2 linked regions of the Canis lupus familiaris genome follow. The protein of the gene in region 1 binds, or shares a complex with, the protein of each later gene. Links are inferred from orthologs where the notes say so. Each region holds a gene or a part of one and is shown on either strand. Other genes may lie near its edges. The genes, in order: FAM98B and ZBTB8OS.

The links.
Region 2: FAM98B (region 1) and ZBTB8OS share a complex: the UniProt entries of both Homo sapiens proteins name them as parts of the tRNA-splicing ligase complex. The link is inferred for Canis lupus familiaris from reciprocal best matches to the Homo sapiens genes FAM98B and ZBTB8OS.

Annotation. Positions count from the first base shown.
Region 1 is NC_049251.1:6,097,039-6,100,855, reverse strand, and holds part of FAM98B (protein FAM98B), read right to left. Parts: intron 3,371-3,817; coding exon 3,192-3,370; intron 63-3,191; coding exon 1-62. UniProt on the Homo sapiens protein: Positively stimulates PRMT1-induced protein arginine dimethylated arginine methylation.
Region 2 is NC_049223.1:68,053,177-68,057,605, reverse strand, and holds the start of ZBTB8OS (protein archease), read right to left. Parts: upstream 3,066-4,429; 5' UTR 2,951-3,065; intron 2,891-2,950; exon of another isoform or gene 2,627-2,890; 5' UTR 2,440-2,626; coding exon 2,307-2,439; intron 1-2,306. Other genes in the region: histone-binding protein RBBP4, read left to right, coding at 3,189-3,204, 3,786-3,933. UniProt on the Homo sapiens protein: Component of the tRNA-splicing ligase complex required to facilitate the enzymatic turnover of catalytic subunit RTCB. Together with DDX1, acts by facilitating the guanylylation of RTCB, a key intermediate step in tRNA ligation.

The sequences.
Region 1 (3,817 bases):
TCAATTTTCAGCAGTGGTTTTCCCACATGATTTTTCTGGACTTTTGAGAGAATATCTTTCACCTAAAAGTAAATATAGAAGATTGTGAAAATGTATATATCTAATTAAATAATCTTATTCTTTCTTAACATGTTGTTTTAAATGTTAAAGTGAAATAACTGAAATATAACTTCACATACCAGGAAAGAATATCACCACAATGAAGAGTATCTTTTTCAAAGAAGCATTAGCTATATGAATTCAAACTATAGCACACCTTTTCCAGAGTAAGAAATAATGTACACAGATGAGTATAGAAAGTAGTTACTGAAAGGTTTTACTATGAAAATCTGTACAGACTTATGTAAAATAATTTTGGGAATTTCTCCTTGAAATGGCACACTCTTATCCACACTCTTATACACATTCCAATTCTAAGCATTCTGATTCCACTGTTCAGCAAGACAACAGGAAAGCAAGCCCTCTAAATTATAGCCACCACATACACATTTCATTACTTTTCCAAAGCCACTAATTTGAATTACTGCCAACACTTTTATTTTAGTGAAAAAGATATTAGACATTTGTCTTTGCTTTCACGATATCAGCCATTCCAATAACAGTAATTTATCCTGAAGAAAATGACTGAGAAATGATAGCCTAAGTTGGGCTCACCCTCCTAACAGAAGTAACTTGATTATCTAAAGGCAATTTCAAAGCCAAATGGCCAATGGCCTATCTACAGTTGCTTAGTTATAAGGTAACTAGGGAAAATAATCAAGAGATTTTTGAGGAACATGAAGCTTATTTAATGTCAGGAGCACTCTTTAAGAATTAAAAATTGTGACCACAGGGACGCCTGGGTGGCTCAGCGGTTAAGCGTCTGCCTTTGGCCCAGGGCATGATCCCAGGATCGAGTCCCACATGCAGCTCCCCGCAGGGAGCCTGCTTCTCCCCCTACCTGTGTCTCTGCCTCTTCCTCTGTGTCTCTCATGAATAAATAAATAAAATCTTAAAAAAAAAAAAAACAAAAAACTGACCACAAAATTAGCTTAGAAACTGGTGGTGGTGATGGTGAGTGACTATAAATGAGCATAAGGTTTCTTTTGAGGGTGATGGAAATGTTCTAAAATTCAATTTGGATGATGGCTGTACTCTCTAAATATACTAAATATAATTTAAAAATACTAAAATTTATCTATTTTGTGTGTGAATTTTATGATATGTGAACTCTATCTTCAGAAAGCTGTATTTTTTTTTTTTTAATTAGCTTGGAAAGAACTCCTGCAAATGAGTGGCCCAAAGCTTAAGTTTTATTAGTTTCGTGGCCAAGTCAGCCTGTTCAACAATGATACAATTCTCACATATTGTTATTATTTTAAGATATTCAATTTCTGTAGATTTCCCAACTATTGTACATACCTCCAACTTTGATCATTTCATATATTACTAAAAGTATGAGTTGTAACCCCTCACTCAAGAAGGATTCTGAAGGCATACTTACAGTTTCTTACACATAATCACATCCAGCTCCATTCCCAGGATTTCAACATTGGACAAGTTTTAGTAAGTTTGAGAATTAAACTCAAATAGAGAGGGCTAAAGGCACACACTCTGGAGGTTGCCTATATTCAAATCTCAAGTCTACCACTACTACTCCAAAACATACTTGTCCCATTTATTAAATCTTTCAGTACCTCAGTCTCCTCATATGTCTGTTGAAGATAATAGTAGTAACTACCTAATCATACATAAATATATATGATGGAAGAATTAAAAGTTATTACATATAAATATTTAGAACAGCAAATACCATATTTCTGCCACTAATATTACTATAATTACATTAGATTCACATTTGAACACCTTCAAGTTAAAAAATAATTTTCTTCCCAAATGATGACAAAGTGTATTCTGAACACATCACATGTACAATAAGGAAATTTCTCCTTTTGATAGGAACTGAGGGGAGAAAAAAAACCTTTTTAGGTAAGTATTTGGCCACAATGACCATAGTAACAACTATCTTATAATTAACCTGCCAGCATTTGAACACAGGCATTATGGCCTACTTCAGGTAGGCAAACCAGAGGTTTGGAGATATTTTTAATACTGAGACCCATAAAAAGGAAAAGCCTCTTTAGGATCAATATATAGAAGCACTGGAAGATTAGAAAGAGCCTAGAAATCTGTCTTAATTTGAAATTACCCCAGACAATTTAGCCAATCCCAGATCATTCTTAATCCAGACAAAAAGAGAAAATAAGTACTGAAGAGAAACTTGTTAATTCCAGAACAATGTTTTTGGGCAATTCACAGAATTTTTCTTTGGTCTGCAGGTTCCACAAAAAGAAAAAATGTTTTTTAAACTGTGTTTTCATTTTAATGATACCAAAATTCTCTTATGTTCAATGAAGACAAAGCTTTTTATTTTTCAGTTCATAAATTATCAAAGCACAAGTATTTTATTTAAGGATTTTGTATAACACAGCATGTCTAAAAATGGCTTTTAGTACATATTCTTAAGAGCAAGAATGTTTTCCTTTAAAATGAATCCTGTATTATTCTCCTAGAGGACTCCTAGGAACCAGGCTGAATTTGGTGTGCAAGAGTAGCATTCTCTCTAATTTATTAGTGGCTCAACAGTCAAGAAGGGTAGTTTAAGAACTAAAGAGAAAATTTCAAAAAGTTTATAGTTTGTGGTTGTTTCTAACTACAGCAGGGTACTCATTCATTCAATCTCTAAACAACGAACACTTACTAAACACCTATCCACTAGAAACTGTGCTTGCTCACTGCCAAAGACAGCCATATTACAATTCTATTAACAATATTCTTTTTTTTTAACAATATTCTTTTTTAAAAAATATAGTTTGCCTTTGACTTTGAAGATTACTCTACTTCTTTCATTATACTACAGTAGAACTTTATTTAGGAAAGGGATCCTTTAACTTGCAAAGTGATTTCTATCAAAGAAAACTCAAAAAAGTCTAAGGGCCCTCACTCATTAAGATCAGATTCCTGAACATTAGCTATAGGCAAATTAAGTCACATGCATATTAATTCAAAATCCAAAATTTAGTTAACAGAAGATAAAGTTCTCTTGAAATGGAACGTACCTTAAAGGAAATATTTTCATTTTTAATACAATATTTATTTATATGTTAGTATTTAATTCCATTTTGAGGAAACAAAAAAAATAAATACAGTACCTTTGATTCCACTTGGTTTAGCATAAGCGGAATGTCAGAAGTTGCTGACTTGGGTACACCAAGAGTATCACAGATAGCTTGAACTTCTTGATAAATTTCACTGTTTTTATCTAATTGAGAATTTTTACGTTTCTTATTCTGCAGTATCTGTGAAGCTTGAAGCTCTGTACTTAAAAATACTATGATAAAAAAGGGAAAAATATACTGTTAAAATATAAAAGAACTTAAAAATCCACTTTTAGGTATATATCCAAAGGACTTGAAATCAGGATTTCAAAGAGATTTGCACTGCTATCCCTTTGTAGTAGGACATAGTGCCCTTCAACAGATGAAGAAAATGTGGTATATACACACAATGGAGTATTATTCCGCCTTAAAAAAGGAAACCCAGCCGTGACTACATGGATGCACCTGGAAGACATTATGCAAAGTAAAATAAGCCAAACACAGAAGGCCAAATACTATGTGATATCACTTTTATGAGGAGCCTAACACAGTCAAACTCACAAAGCACAGAGGAGAATGGTGGTTTTCAGGGGCTGGGGGAAGGGAAAAACTGAAGTTATCAAATATAAATGTTTACAAAACTGGTGACATTTTAATAAGGTCTCAAAATCAGAGGGACC
Region 2 (4,429 bases), on another chromosome or scaffold:
TGTGTGACTATCATGAATAAATAAATAAAATCTTAAAAAAAAAAAAAAAAAGCAAAAAAAAACCTCTTCTTTTCCAAATGTACTACAAGAAAACAGGAGAGTTATTTTATATCAGAGTGGGCAACGCCTTCCTAAGTATAAATTCCCAGAAGCCTTTAAAGGGTTAATAAATTTCACTATGTAAAACTAAATTTCTACAAAGTAAAAAACAAAACAAAAAACCCAACAGAAAAATGGGTTAAGAATATGAACATACACATCCTAGAAGGGCACATACAAATAGCTCCACACATACGGAAATATGTTCAACCTCACTTATAATAAAAAGAAAGCAACTAATATGACAAGATATTTAAATTGGAAGAGACCCAAAAGGGGATCCCTGGGTGGTTCAGCGGTTTAGTGCCTGCCTTTGGCCCAGAGCGTGATCCTGGAGTTCCGGGATCGAGTCCCATGTCGGGCTCCTGGCATGGAGCCTGCTTCTCCCTCCTCCTGTATCTCTGCCTCTCTCTCTCTTTCTCTATGTCTATCATAAATAAGTAAATAAATAAATCTTAAAAAAAAAAAAAGGGAAGAGACCCAAAAGTATGGTTATGCAGCAAATAGGTAGAAATGTGCGGAAAGAGGCACACTCATACAATGCTAGTCAGAGTATAAACTGGCACAACCTCATTGGAGATCAATTTAGCAATAACTGCTAAGATTAACAATGCAGGGCAGCCCTGGTGGCGCAGCGGTTTAGCGCCGCCTGCAGCCCAGGGTGTGATCCTGGAGACCCTGGATCGAGTCCCAAGTCAGGCTCTCTGCATGGAGCCTGCTTCTCCCTCTGCCTGTGTCTCTGCTGCCTCTCATTCTCTCTCTGTGTCTCTATGAATAAATAAATAAAATCTTAAAAAAAAAAGATTAACAATGCACATATCCTTTGACAAAGCAGTTTAACTTCTGTAAATTTATAGATACACCTGTACGTGTGCAAAACAATGAATGCGGAACAGGGATCCCACCTGTTGTACTTTTTTATTCAGATATATCAGATACAAGCCTTATTAAAAATAATTTTTAGGGGATCCCTGGGTGGCTCAGCGGTTTGGCGCCTGCCTTTGGCCCAGGGCGCAATCCTGGAGTCCCGGGATCGAGTCCCGCGTCAGGCTCCCGGCATGGAGCCTGCTTCTCCCTCCTCCTGTATCTCTGCCTCTCTCTCTCTCTCTCTATGTCCATCATAAATAAATAAATAAATCTTTAAAAAATTTTAAAAAATAAAAATAATTTTAAAAAATTGTTGTTAAGGGGCATCTGCCTTTGGCTCAAGTCATGATCTAGGGGTCCTCTCATGCTTGCCTAGGCCTTCCTGCTCAGTGGGGAGTCTGCTTCTCCCTCTCCATCTACCCCTCCCCCATTCTCTTCTCCCCATCCACGTGCTCTTTCTGTTCCAAATAAAATCTTTTTAAAAATTTGCTTTTATGAGAAAAATAAAAGGGTTCATTCATAACCTAGTATGCCATAGTAAATAAACTACAGAGAACAATGGAAAATTAATAAGATTTTAGAGTAGAAAAATAGAAGTCAGATTTGTGCTCCGCAAACCATAGCAATCTTTAGGGATGATAGCTAAATGTTTAAATAGAAGATCAGAATATGTACTATACTTTTGTGTTTACTATTATCTCATTTACTCCCCAGTTAAGGAACTATGGTGCCATGAGAGATTATATAACTTGCCACAAGTTATGAAGCTGTTCATGGCAAAACCAGGTCTTTTTTTTTTTTTTTTTTTTTTTAAAGATTTTATTTATTTCTTCACGAGAGACACAGAAGAGAAGCGACTCCTCGCAGGAGCCGGAGGCGGGGCTTAATCCCGAATCCCGGGATCACGCCCTGGGTTGAAGGCAGACGCCCAACCGCTGAGCCACCCAGGCATCCCCAAACCAGGTCTTTTTACTAAAAGCACGATCCAGGTAAAACACCAAATTACATGTCCCCTACTCAGCTAAGTCCTCTAACCTAATGATACTCTAACCACCCCACTGTTGGGAAACACATACGGGCGACCACCCGGCAAATGCTTGAAAATACGTTTATCTTTAGAATGAAGACACTGGTAAAATTCCCACGAGGTAATGGGACTAGGTAAATGTAGAAAGAATTCAAGGAACCATAAAAGTGGCAGCCCAGTTTTCTGACTCTCAGGCCAGGTGGCTGTTCCCTTCAGCACTCCCGGCTGAAGCACCTCAGGGGCAAAGCGGAAGGCGAGACCGGAAGACCTGGGCAAGGCGAAAGGGCATGAGAGAAGTGAGCCATCTACTCACACTCGTACTTCCGAATGGCTGGAGGATACTTGGCCTTGATCGCCTTCTGCTCTTCAGTCAAATTGTAATCTCGAATATCTTCCTCTTCCTGCGCCATAATTGCCGCACTGGACACTCTACTTCCGCCCTTCATTAGCTGGACTTCAGCCCTGATTTACAACTTCCGCTCTAGACTCCGCCCCTTGGCACGCGCCCTTAAAGCACCAGGACCCCATTCTCGCAGATAGACTTTATATGGTTAACACTTCTGTCCTAGGACTCGCTGCCGGAAGCACATCTTTAATAGGCTTCGGCCCTATTTCTGCGTTTCTTCATCCGTTCTAAGAACAAAGGAAACATACACACTGGAGGACGTGGGAGGAGGGAGACACTTTAGAACTAAATACCCGCTTGTCTGGGTGGTGAGAAGCCTTTTCTTTTTACCTCACAGAGTCGATAACTACACCCGAAGCCACCCTAGATTTCTCATCTGAGTACTTTTAAAGTGTCGGGAGCTGCACAGCTTTTAAGAAAATGGCTGCCCCCTGGAGAGTGCGGACTAAACCTCTCACGTGACCCGACGCGCGCACTCCCACCGGGTCCGCGCGCGCGCAATCGTAGGAAGTCGGCTCCCGGCCGTGTCGGGGCAGGGGAGGGGCGCGCACCTCGGCACCGCAGAAAGCGACTCTGCGCGTCTGGATAGGCTGCAAACGCGGCTTCCCCGCCCACCCCGCCGTTCGGGACGCTGCGATTGGCCGGTGTTGGCGCGAAGGTGCGCGAGTAGGCCCTCACGCAGGGGCAGCAGGAAACAATAGAGGCCGCGCGCGCAGAGCGAGCGCCTGTAGCCTCCCCGCCCCTCCCGCAGCGCTCGACCCCGGGATCCCCCCGGCTCGCCTGCCCGCCATGGCCGACAAGGAAGGTAAGGGCCGCCCCGGGAGGGCGGGGGGTGCCGGGCTGGCGCCGCGGCCTCGACAGGGCCTAGCAGTGAAGGCAAGCCCGACTCTTGAGTGCTGTCCCCACCATCGAAGGCGTGAGGAGAAATCGCCCCGCGGGCGGGCTAACGGCGCGCCAGTTCCTCCGACACGGAGGCCGGTGGCCGCGGTGTGGAGCTGGTGGGGGGGCCCCGGCGGGTGTTTGGGCCCTCCCCGCGCTCGCTGTCGGCCTGCCCGCCTCTCGCGTTCTGCGTGCGCTGCTCCCTACCCCGGGGGCCGGTGCGCGGGCCTCCGCGCGGGTTCCGTCGATTCAGCGGGAACGCGAGCGTGCTCCCGAGGCCCGGCGCCGGCGCCCGAACAGCTAACGGGAGTGACGCGCCCCGCTAGCCCGAGAGTAATTGCGGGCCCGCGAGGCGGGGAGGGGTGCAGGTCGCTCCGCCTCGGGGACATTTAGACATATCTGCTCCATTTCAGAATCTTGACTTAATAAGCAGTGCCGGTAGCTTTGGAAGCGTTGGCTCGGTTTCCATTTGTGTTCGCTAACTTAATTTGTTTTTTAACTTTTTAGCAGCCTTTGATGACGCAGTAGAGGAACGTGTGATCAACGAAGAGTACAAAATATGGAAAAAGAACACCCCTTTTCTTTACGATTTGGTGATGACCCATGCTCTGGAGTGGCCTAGCCTAACTGCACAGTGGCTTCCAGATGTAACCAGGTGATGTGAATCTCTTGAACGTTATCTTGTGTCCTCCTCAGCGTTGATTTCTCACGTTGATTTTTCCGTGTCTTCCCCCAGTCACCCGAAGAGGGCACGTAATGATAACCTATGGGTGATGTTTTTTTCCTAGGCCAAAAAATAATACAAAATGTAAAAATAGTTTTGCAATGTACCTGATAAGAGAAAACTTGTTTTCTTTTCCTGATAACGAATTGAATAGCCTGTTATAATTACAGTTGGAAAATAATGTAAAATGTGTCAGTTTTCAAAAAAAGCTATGATTTCAGTTCTTTCAGCAAAATATTTGAATTGTAGGTAGTAGCTGGTTAATATAAAGAGGTATATGACATGGTACCTGCCTTCAAGGAGCACAAGTGTAATTGAGGCCCATGTAAACTAATAATTACAGTAACCTATGCTAAAAGCAGTTTTACAGAGATACTTAGGATATTTAGAACTAAGAACTGAAGATGGGGTGGTTTGGGGGTTTTAT